Xenopus tropicalis: one gene and its partner. The protein of the gene in region 2 binds, or shares a complex with, the protein of the main gene of each other region. Links are inferred from orthologs where the notes say so. Each region holds a gene or a part of one and is shown on either strand. Other genes may lie near its edges.

The links.
Region 1: the proteins of rad9a (region 2) and rhno1 are in contact, whole or in part, in a crystal structure (PDB 8WU8), measured with the Homo sapiens proteins. The link is inferred for Xenopus tropicalis from reciprocal best matches to the Homo sapiens genes RAD9A and RHNO1. Residues at the interface, in NP_004575.1 of Homo sapiens: Val41, Ser44, Arg45, Ser46, Ala47, Tyr48, Glu130, Leu132, Gln133, Ala134, Val135, Glu165, Tyr181, Glu183, Thr216, Phe217, Cys218, Gly244, Pro246, Val261, Leu262, Ala263, Thr264, Leu265, Ser266; in NP_001239428.1 of Homo sapiens: Thr88, Lys90, Phe91, Pro92, His93, Leu94, Thr95, Phe96, Glu97, Ser98.

Annotation. Positions count from the first base shown.
Region 1 is NC_030679.2:10,384,766-10,389,460, reverse strand, and holds the start of rhno1 (RAD9, HUS1, RAD1-interacting nuclear orphan protein 1), read right to left. Parts: upstream 3,254-4,695; 5' UTR 3,150-3,253; exon of another isoform or gene 2,957-3,149; intron 1,772-2,956; exon of another isoform or gene 1,729-1,771; 5' UTR 1,691-1,728; coding exon 1,523-1,690; intron 1-1,522. UniProt on the Homo sapiens protein: Involved in microhomology-mediated end-joining (MMEJ) DNA repair by promoting recruitment of polymerase theta (POLQ) to DNA damage sites during mitosis.
Region 2 is NC_030683.2:57,498,041-57,502,820, forward strand, and holds the start of rad9a (cell cycle checkpoint control protein RAD9A), read left to right. Parts: upstream 1-1,713; 5' UTR 1,714-1,754; intron 1,755-2,092; 5' UTR 2,093-2,169; intron 2,170-4,780. UniProt on the Homo sapiens protein: Component of the 9-1-1 cell-cycle checkpoint response complex that plays a major role in DNA repair. The 9-1-1 complex is recruited to DNA lesion upon damage by the RAD17-replication factor C (RFC) clamp loader complex.

The DNA.
Region 1 (4,695 bases), on a different chromosome or scaffold from region 2:
ATCAGGTCAGCCTAGCTGCTGATTGGTTCCTATCCTACAGTGCAGTGTACTGAGTGCCGCCGGCTCCCCTGAACATCCAGAGAATTCAGCCAGCAGGAAGTGGAACAGATGGGCGGGGCTAGTGGGGTTTTGGGGGAATTTCTCAATAAATCAGTCTGAAACACAACTTTTTTTTAGCACAATCCGTCTATATCTAGAGGAGCATAATTCCCTGGTACATTTATAATTTTTATAGGATATGTCTCCTTTAATATATGGTACCAAAATACTGAAGGCCTCACTGAAACCTGCTGGTGAAATGTTGCAGATGATAAATGTGTAACGTGTAGCTGGACTCCATACATAGTAGGGGGGTGGGTGGTGGTCGCAGCAACAGCTTTTGTGTTTGGTTTGTCCCTAGGGTGCGGTTCTCTGATGGGCCCCAGGTACCCCAGTTCGACACTGGTTTTCTGGGGGTCTGTGTATAGTTAGGGGGGGGGTTACTGCACATAATACACTGACAGGGGGCTCTGTGTGCAAAAGCTGAGTTGCAGACGAGAAATCCTTATGCGCTATTTTCATTTTGGGGTCAGTACATACCGCAGACTTTGGTATATCTATGCATATTGGGCATCAAACTGTTCAGTAGGCCATTGGCCATTCATATTTAGGGTGATTTGTCATTGTATGTGTAGGGACCCATAGGGTTAATATGCCCCTATGATGTTAAACCCTACCTTTCCTTTTCTTCCTTGTCACTAGGCAGGATTTACCCCACATAAAATGCAGTAAATATGTTGATTGTGCAGTAACTAAAATGACAGATCATATGGGGGGGCATTTTTATTTTGGGGCCCCTACATGCCCTATACTTATGTAAACCTATGCACAATATACATAGTAACATAGTAAGTTAGGTTGAAAAAAGACGTACGTCCATCACGTTCAACCATAATGCCTATATATAACCTGCCTAACTTCTAGTTGATCCAGAGGAAGGCAAAAACCCCATCTGAAGCCTCTCTAATTTGCCCCAGAGGGGAAACGATTCCTTCCTGACTCCAAGATGGCACAATGGGCATCAAACTGTTCAGTGGGCCTGTTGCTGATGACATTTAGAAGCCTATATCTTGTTACAGAATCAGGGATTCTCATTGGAGAATTGTTTTGCATTATAAAGCAGTTGCTGGCTGTGGAGATTTGGGGAATAGTTTTATTGTGCAATACTGCTTTAAAAATGCAATCCTGATGTTGCTAGACTACAGCTCCCAGCATGCTTGAACTATCATATATTACATTATTCTGGGATTTATAGTCCAGCAACAACTAAATAAAGTTTGGTTGAGCAGTGCAGCAAGGTTTACAACCCCTTAACATTCATCAATGCAAAGCAACGTATCCCTTGGTCAGACTGTGATTGCTGTAAACAGCTGAATGCCATTCTGATGAATGGGGGTGTTAGATCCCAGGGTAGCCCAGAGCTTTAACACCCTCCTGAATCAAAGCAAACTAATGTAGCAATGAAAAAATACCCAACACTTACCCAAGAGGCGGATGCATTGTGATCCAGAGGTTTGGTGGGCACACATACAGGGTGGGCCGCCTTGTCAGGGGGTAGTCCATACTCATGGCGCAGACCCTGCTTTGGGCTTTCCAGGAACACCAGGCGTGGTTTGCTTGCGTTGTATGAGGTCTGCTTCTTACGAGGCATCGGCAGTTAATGGCAGGAACGCCAGCAGCCACATGGTGCTAAGGGGCAATAAACAAATGGCTGTATCCAGGAAAATCAGCCCTAAGGCACAAAAACAGAGGGACAGCAGGATTAGTATGAGGTGCAGAACACTGACAGGCAGTGGGCAAATAAGCCTCCCATTAAATAAGCCAATGGGATTTTACAGGCAAAGCCAAAAAGGTTTGATCTAAAATAGATCAAACCTTTTTGGCTTTGCCTGTAAAATCCCACTGCCTTATTTTTAGATTCTAAATCCTTATACTTGCTGCTGGTACAGGTATAGGACCCATTATCCAGAATGCTCGGGACCAAGGGTATTCCGGATAAGGGATCTTAGTTGGGATCAAGTACAGGTACTGTTTTATTATTACAGAGAAAAGGGAATCATTTAACCATTAAATAAACCCAATAGGGCTGTTCTGCCCCCAATAAGGGGTAATTATATCTTAGTTGGGATCAAGTACAGGTACTGTTTTATTATTACAGAGAAAAGGGAATCATTTAACCATGAAATAAACCCAATAGGGCTGTTCTGCCCCCAATAAGGGGTAATTATATCTTAGTTGGGATCAAGTACAGGTACTGTTTTATTATTACAGAGAAAAGGGAATCATTTAACCATTAAATAAACCCAATAGGGCTGTTCTGCCCCCAATAAGGGGTAATTATATCTTAGTTGGGATCAAGTACAGGTACTGTTTTATTATTACAGAGAAAAGGGAATCATTTAACCATTAAATAAACCCAATAGGGCTGTTCTGCCCCCAATAAGGGGTAATTATATCTTAGATGGGATCAAGTACAGGTACGGTTTTATTATTACAGAGAAAAGGGAATCATTTAACCATTAAATAAACCCAATAGGGCTGTTCTGCCCCAATAAGGGGTAATTATATCTTAGTTGGGATCAAGTACAGGTACTGTTTTATTATTACAGAGAAAAGGGAATCATTTAACCATTAAATAAACCCAATAGGGCTGTTCTGCCCCCAATAAGGGGTAATTATATCTTAGTTGGGATCAAGTACAGGTACTGTTTTATTATTACAGAGAAAAGGGAATCGTTTAACCATTAAATAAACCTAATAGGGCTGTTCTGCCAGGGATCAAGGGATCAAGTACAGGTACTGTTTTATTATAACAGAGAAAAAACAAATCAGGTTTAAAAATTCTGAATTATTTGATTAAAATGGAGTCTATTCGGAGCTTTCTAGATACCGGGTTTCCGGATAAGGGGTCCCATACCTGTACGTTAGCCAAGCTCTGAGTGCTACAGTCATTAGTCTCTGCCTCCTGTCATACCATGAGTTACCCACAGATGGCGCTCCCAACATGACGGCTCCGATTCCGTTTAAAACAAACAGGTCCAATCAGCATGTTCCCCACCAATCAATTTGTTATCCACAACTGCACCCACAACCCACCGACAGCTACAAACCCTTAATAAGCGGACAGGTAGCCCCCGAACATTCCGGCCCAGCGCTGTAATATCCCCTTCTTTCCGGGATACGTTAGGGCTTCTCTCTTTCCCCGACACCGATTGGCTACGGCGAGCGTTCTATAACTCGCTCATTATGATTGGCTCTTTGCCAAAGGAACTCGTTGATTGATTGCGCGATTGGTCGAGAGATGCGTGACGCGCTAGGGACGCGCTGTGGATTGGTCGATGTGGTCACGTGGGTTTAAGCGGGCCCGAAAGCGCGAAAATTCAAAAACCACGGAAAGGCCCGATATTGACACCGTCTTATAAACAGGTATTTAGATCGGGTTAGATCGTCATCGGACGTGAAGTTGGGGCTGTGTGTGTATGAGGGTGGGTGCAAGGCTTGTGTAGAAGGAGCATGGAGGCCTGTGGGTGTAGGGGGTGTCAGTTCTCAATATGGAACTGTCATGTTCCACTCTATGGAAGCCGCTGTTGTTCAACTACAACCCACCTGTAATGTCTTAATGGTCTTTTGGGGGAGGGGGTGTCCTGCAATGGTTCAGCCACATATTTTATATATATATATATATATATATATATATATGGGCCCTATCTGCCCATGGCAACTTTATCTCCCAATTGTGAAAATGTATCCTGTTTTCTGGCTTTAGTGCGCCCATATAATGAGGTTGTTGGGTTATACAATGGCTTTGCCTTCTGTCTGCCTCACCCTCCTCCTCCATCAATTCAATGGGTAATGAGTGACCTATTCAGTGAATGAGGAGGGGACAGGGGCTTTAACAATCAGTAAAGGGGGGTGCTAGAGCCATTGTCGCTCACTCTGTAGCAGTGCGGGTGTTATTAGGGAATTAGTATAGGTTGGAAAATAAAGTTAGAAACACACGAGAAGGGATCTCTAACCCCCTTGTATCACATATACAGCAAGAACCTAACAGAATAACGTTCTAGCTGGTCCAGTTCTCCTTACTAACCAATCAGAGCAGCAGGGAGTTCATTATGAAGGATGCTGTACCATAAATGCCTGTAATCCTTCCTCTTTGTTCCATAGCCCCAAGCAAATCATTCTATGCATCAGCTGCTGTATTGCTGGGGGGTCCCGCAATGGGTCAGTAAGGCCACTTGCCCAGCTACTGTATATTTGGGCACTATCTGCCGCTGGCACTGTGCTAGTGATGAAACCACGCAGCCATGGCAACTTTATTTACAAATTGAGGATATTTAACATGTTTTCTGGCTTTAGTGCAAAAAAAGGGAAAGTTGTGCTGACCATTACATTTTAAACCAGGGGGTCCTCAAACTACGGCCCCCCACGGGCATTTACCTACCCCTGCTGTGTCCTCACCCCTGGCTACTACCTGTCTGCCTCAGCGTGGCCCTCGCTGGACACATTAGCATCGGCGGGTGTGACAGGGTAACGTGATGCAGCCAAGGACCACGCTGAGGCAGGCCAGTTATAGCCAGGGGTGTGGGACAAACTATAGTCTGGCCCCCCAACAGTCTGAGGGACTGTGAACTGGCCCCCTGCTTAAAAAGATTGAGC
Region 2 (4,780 bases):
CAGCATTAGCTGCTGCTAAACCAGGCATTTTCCCTGGTGCTACCTGTATCTCACCTTTAACAATGGTGGAAAATACACCAAACAGTGCTCTTACTGCTTGTATCTCTCACAGTACCCACAATCAAAACCATACCTTGGAGGCACACACAGACTGACCCAACCTATCCCCCCCATTCCTGACAAATAGAAGGTCTACCCCCCTCATTGTCCTAACCCCAAAGACACAAACATACCTAGAGGTGCCTCACTTTCCCACAGTCAGGTATACAAGTTATACAACTAGGGACACATACACTGCAAGGCATACACATACCTAAGATACATAAATAATGTCTTACTTACACACCTCCACCCCCCCATTTATAACTACAGACCTCACCTGCTGCCACAGCCCACTCACATCATAGGTAGGTCTAGTTTCCCTACACACTGCTCTAGAGTCAAATACCCCCACAGACATAAACCTACCACAGCTCATGTAATCTCACCACACACTGTACCTCCCCCACTAGCACATCTAAATACTTATGCCACCCATATTACTAACACAATCTCCCCTCAATATTCTGGGTAAAAAAAAAAAGCACAACCGAAATTTTAAGCAAATGTAGGGACCCATAGGGTTAAATGCCCTATGGAGTGATATCCCTACCTCTTCACATAGATCCCTTGTTACTGGAAGCCTTTGTAACAGTTTATAGTTATGCCTATACTTTATTGGCCCATATGGTTGTCCACACTCCTTGCAGCCTCATATAATGTCTAGCAAGGAGGTGTGGCTGCCTGTCTGCTTCCCAACAACAGCTCCATTGAGCCTGGGTGCAGACATAGGCCCCAGTAAGCCATATTCTTTGAAGTAAAGTCGGGGACAGGGCCCCGTGAACGAGGTAAAGTTAGTCTCAGGACTAGACTCTGTCATAGCACACTCTAGGGGGCTGATTTACTAATCCACGAATTCGAATGGGAAAAATTCGGATTGGAAACGAACATTTTGCGACTTTTTCGTATATTTTGCCTTCCACTTAGCGAAGGCCACCCCTTTGAAATAGAGTCCCAATGTGCCCCATGCTCTAACCATAGCCTGGCATTTAAAGTGCTTTTTAGCCAAAAAGGGGTTACATACACAAAACCTCCCCCAAAATTATCTAACATGCCAAAAACATAAGCACACTCCAAAACTCTTCCCCATAGTTTAAAATTGTGCAACACGTCAACCCAGCTGGAAAAAAAAAATCAATAACCACCCTTCAAAAAAATGCACACCCCCAAAACTCATCAGCACCCTTACCCCAAAAAATACAAGCACTCCACATATAAGCAGGCTCCAACAACCCCCTAAAATTAAGGGCACACACCTTACATAGAATAGATCCACAGCCTCCACTGAACATCAAGTGTCCCAGTATTCAGGCAACTGAATAAACTCCTACATTTAATTCTGTCCCAAGAAAAAAATAATGCTACCCAGCGCAACCCAATACTCAATAGCGCACTGTGACACTACTTTTAATGAGCCATTCTCTCCATAGCATCCCCGAGTAACCACCTATAATCTATTTACACAGGCATTTGAAGAAGGCGCTGAATGTTACGTGTTGGAGACGTCGCCACGTCTTCACGTGTTTGTGACGTCACTCACGGCCACAGGAACTAGATATATAAATGGCTTTTGGAAACCGTTTAAGACCGAGTCGGGACTGAGGGCTGAGTTAAGAGAAGCGGACCTGTCCAGCTAAAAGCGGGACTATTGGGCGGTATGTGAGCGGGGCCGACCTTTAAAATTAGTTGATAGTATATCCTTTTTCTGAAAAGGAGAACGTTTAGACTAAAGCGTAAGATGGTACAACTCGTTACTTTAAGACCAAAAACCTCCAAATAAGTTGTCTTGAATATGCCTTTGGATCAGCACGAACGTACATGCAGTCGTCATTTAGAGGCATTAATGCTTAACAATTTTAATTGGCTAGTTGTTAAAATTTGACCTACACGAATGCATTAATCCATAGAAATGCATATTATGGGTCTCTACTGAACTGGTAACAATACTTTCAAATACGCATTATGACTATTTTTTTAATTTTTTTTTTTTAAGCTGTAGTGCAAGAGGAAGTTCTCTAAATGAAGATTGAAGGGGTTCTCCTTTCAAAAACTTGTTTTGCTTATAGAAAGGTAATGCAATTCTAATTAACTGTCCAATATACTTTATTTACAAACTTTCAGTAGTTTTAAAGTGATTTGTTAATGTAATATCTAAAAAGCTTTATTTGTCTTGCTTACATTCTCTGCACTCCTGGCTTTGATTTTGGAGCAATAATACAAGGCAGCTGGATAAAAATACCTAGAGGAGACCTGACCCTGTAACATTGTTTTAAGAGTAAAGGTGGCCATACACGCACCAATAATATCGTACGAAACCTCGTTTCGTACGATATTCGGTGCGTGTATGGTATGTCGGCGAGTCGACCGATATCGCAGGAAGCTGCTGATATCGGCCGACTCGCCGATCGGACCAGTTTGAAAATTTTGATTGGGCGCCATAGAAGGCGCCTGACCAAAATCTCCCTTCAGCGCTGAATCAGCAGAAGGAGCAGAAGGAGGTAGAAATCCTATTGTTTCTACCTCCTTACCGATGGTTGCACGAAACATCGTCAGATTGCCACGTGTATGGCCAGCTTAAGACCCAGACAATAGAAAGGGATAGAGAATTACTGCTTTTATTTGCAATTCCATGTACAGGTAATATAGTGTAAGGTGCATAGATAGGGAAGAAACTTTGTGATGTTACATGTCTCTGTGTATTGAAATTGAATAAATGGGCTTAAAGGAAAAAGAAAGTCAAAGTCACTTGGGGGTGCCAAAATGTTAGGCACCCCCAAGTGACTTTGACCACCTACATTTTACCCCGGGCTGGTGCCCCTGTGAGGAGGGAACAGCACCAGCCCGGGGTAGCTGCCGGCGCTTGCCTCTGCCTGATTCGCTGCGCGTGCATGCGCAGTAGAGTGAAAAGCCGAACTTAAACTTTAAAGTCGGCTTTTCACTCTACTGCGCATTCGCCCACCGCTGGCATTCCAGAAACGGAAGCCGGAATAAGGAAACGATCCGCTCCAGGTGCCCCGGGCTGGTGCTATTTTCTCCTAACAGGGGCACCAGCCCGGGGTACGAGGTAAGCGGTTAAAGTCACTTGGGGTGCCTAACATTTTGGCACCCCCAAGTGATTTTACCTTTCGTTTCCCTTTAAATGAGAAGGAAAGGCTAATAGTTAATTTCAAGCTGCAGGCATACCTTCAGTTTTCTCAATAGTGCCTTTAAGTCCCCCCATATTTCTCCTGTTCAGATGATCAGAAACCTCATAGGAAAAAAAAAATCTAAGCTTTGAAAAGAAAGTTCCCATAATTCCTCACTCCTGGACCGAGACCATTGTACATGCTCAGTTTGTAAGACGATGAGGAAGTTTCCTACTGATTGGCTCAGATCACACATTTCTAAGAGGGGGGGGGGGAAGTGAGTTCTTAGCATTCTTGAGGGAGGGGGAGAGAGCTGCATGTCTCTGGCACAGGAAAACAAAGACAACAAATCCTGTTTCTTTTGAGAGAACTCAGTGCAGTGTTTTTATAGACCTTTCCCTTTCTGATAAATACTTTCAGCTTAAAGGAGACATATTGGAAACATTGAAAAAACCCCAATTTTGTAGGCAATTATGAATAATATATGGTGCTGATTTCACTTTTGGCTAAATTGAACACTGTCAAAAATGGCCCCTTTATTGGAGCTCCCTATAGATCATCTCAGGTCTCTGTCAGGACATGCCCACCTTTCATTTGAAATGATGTGATGTGCAGTGTCATTTTTTCATCTGACCAAGCTTCAACATGTTTTTTCTTTAGCAGTGGTGTCTTGCGCGTTGAGCCTGCAAAGAGGCCATGTTGGTTGAGTGCATTACTTATTGTTTTTTTTAAACAACTGTACAAGGTGTTTCTGAAGCTCTCCATGAGTGATCCTTGGCTCTTGGACAATTTTTCTGATTATTCTTTTGATTACTCTGTCAGAAATATTGGGAGGAACACCTGGTCGTGCCCTTTTAATGTGAAATGATGTTCTTTCCTCTTCCGGGTTATGGCCCCAACTGTGCTCACTGGAACATTCAGAAGCTTAGAAATACATCTATAACTAATGCCATCAGTATGTATTGCAACAATAAGGTTGCAAAGGTCTTGAGAGAGCTCTTTGCTATTACCCATCATGAGATGCTTCTTGTGTGATACCTTGGTAATGAGAAACCATTTATTAGGACTAAGCCAGCTGAAATTATTTTGCACTGATAGGGGGCAGGATTGCTTTCAAAATACTGACAAATGTCAGCAGGTTTCTTTGCTTTCCATGCCTCTTCTTCATGTGTTCAATACTTATTCCCTGTGTCATTCCACTTTATTACACATAACTTAATTTAAAGACTTATTTGTTTTGATTTCTTTGTATGTGTGGATTTCTTGGGTTGTTACCAATATCTGGTGTAAATTTCATGTCAATAGCCCCTTTTGAAATATATTTACTGTGAAAAATGTTGATGTGTGCAATACTTCTTTTCCCTGCTGAATGTGCATCATGGGCTGTTCGATGGGGTTGGACTTGAGCAACTTTTTTTTTTTTTCCCTAACCCCTATTAACTATGAAACGTCCAATATATAGTAACACTGAGGGGCAGATTTATCATAGTGTGAAATTAGATCTCGTCACAGAAACACTCCATTTCATTCATGGGATTTTTAGAAGTGTATTTATC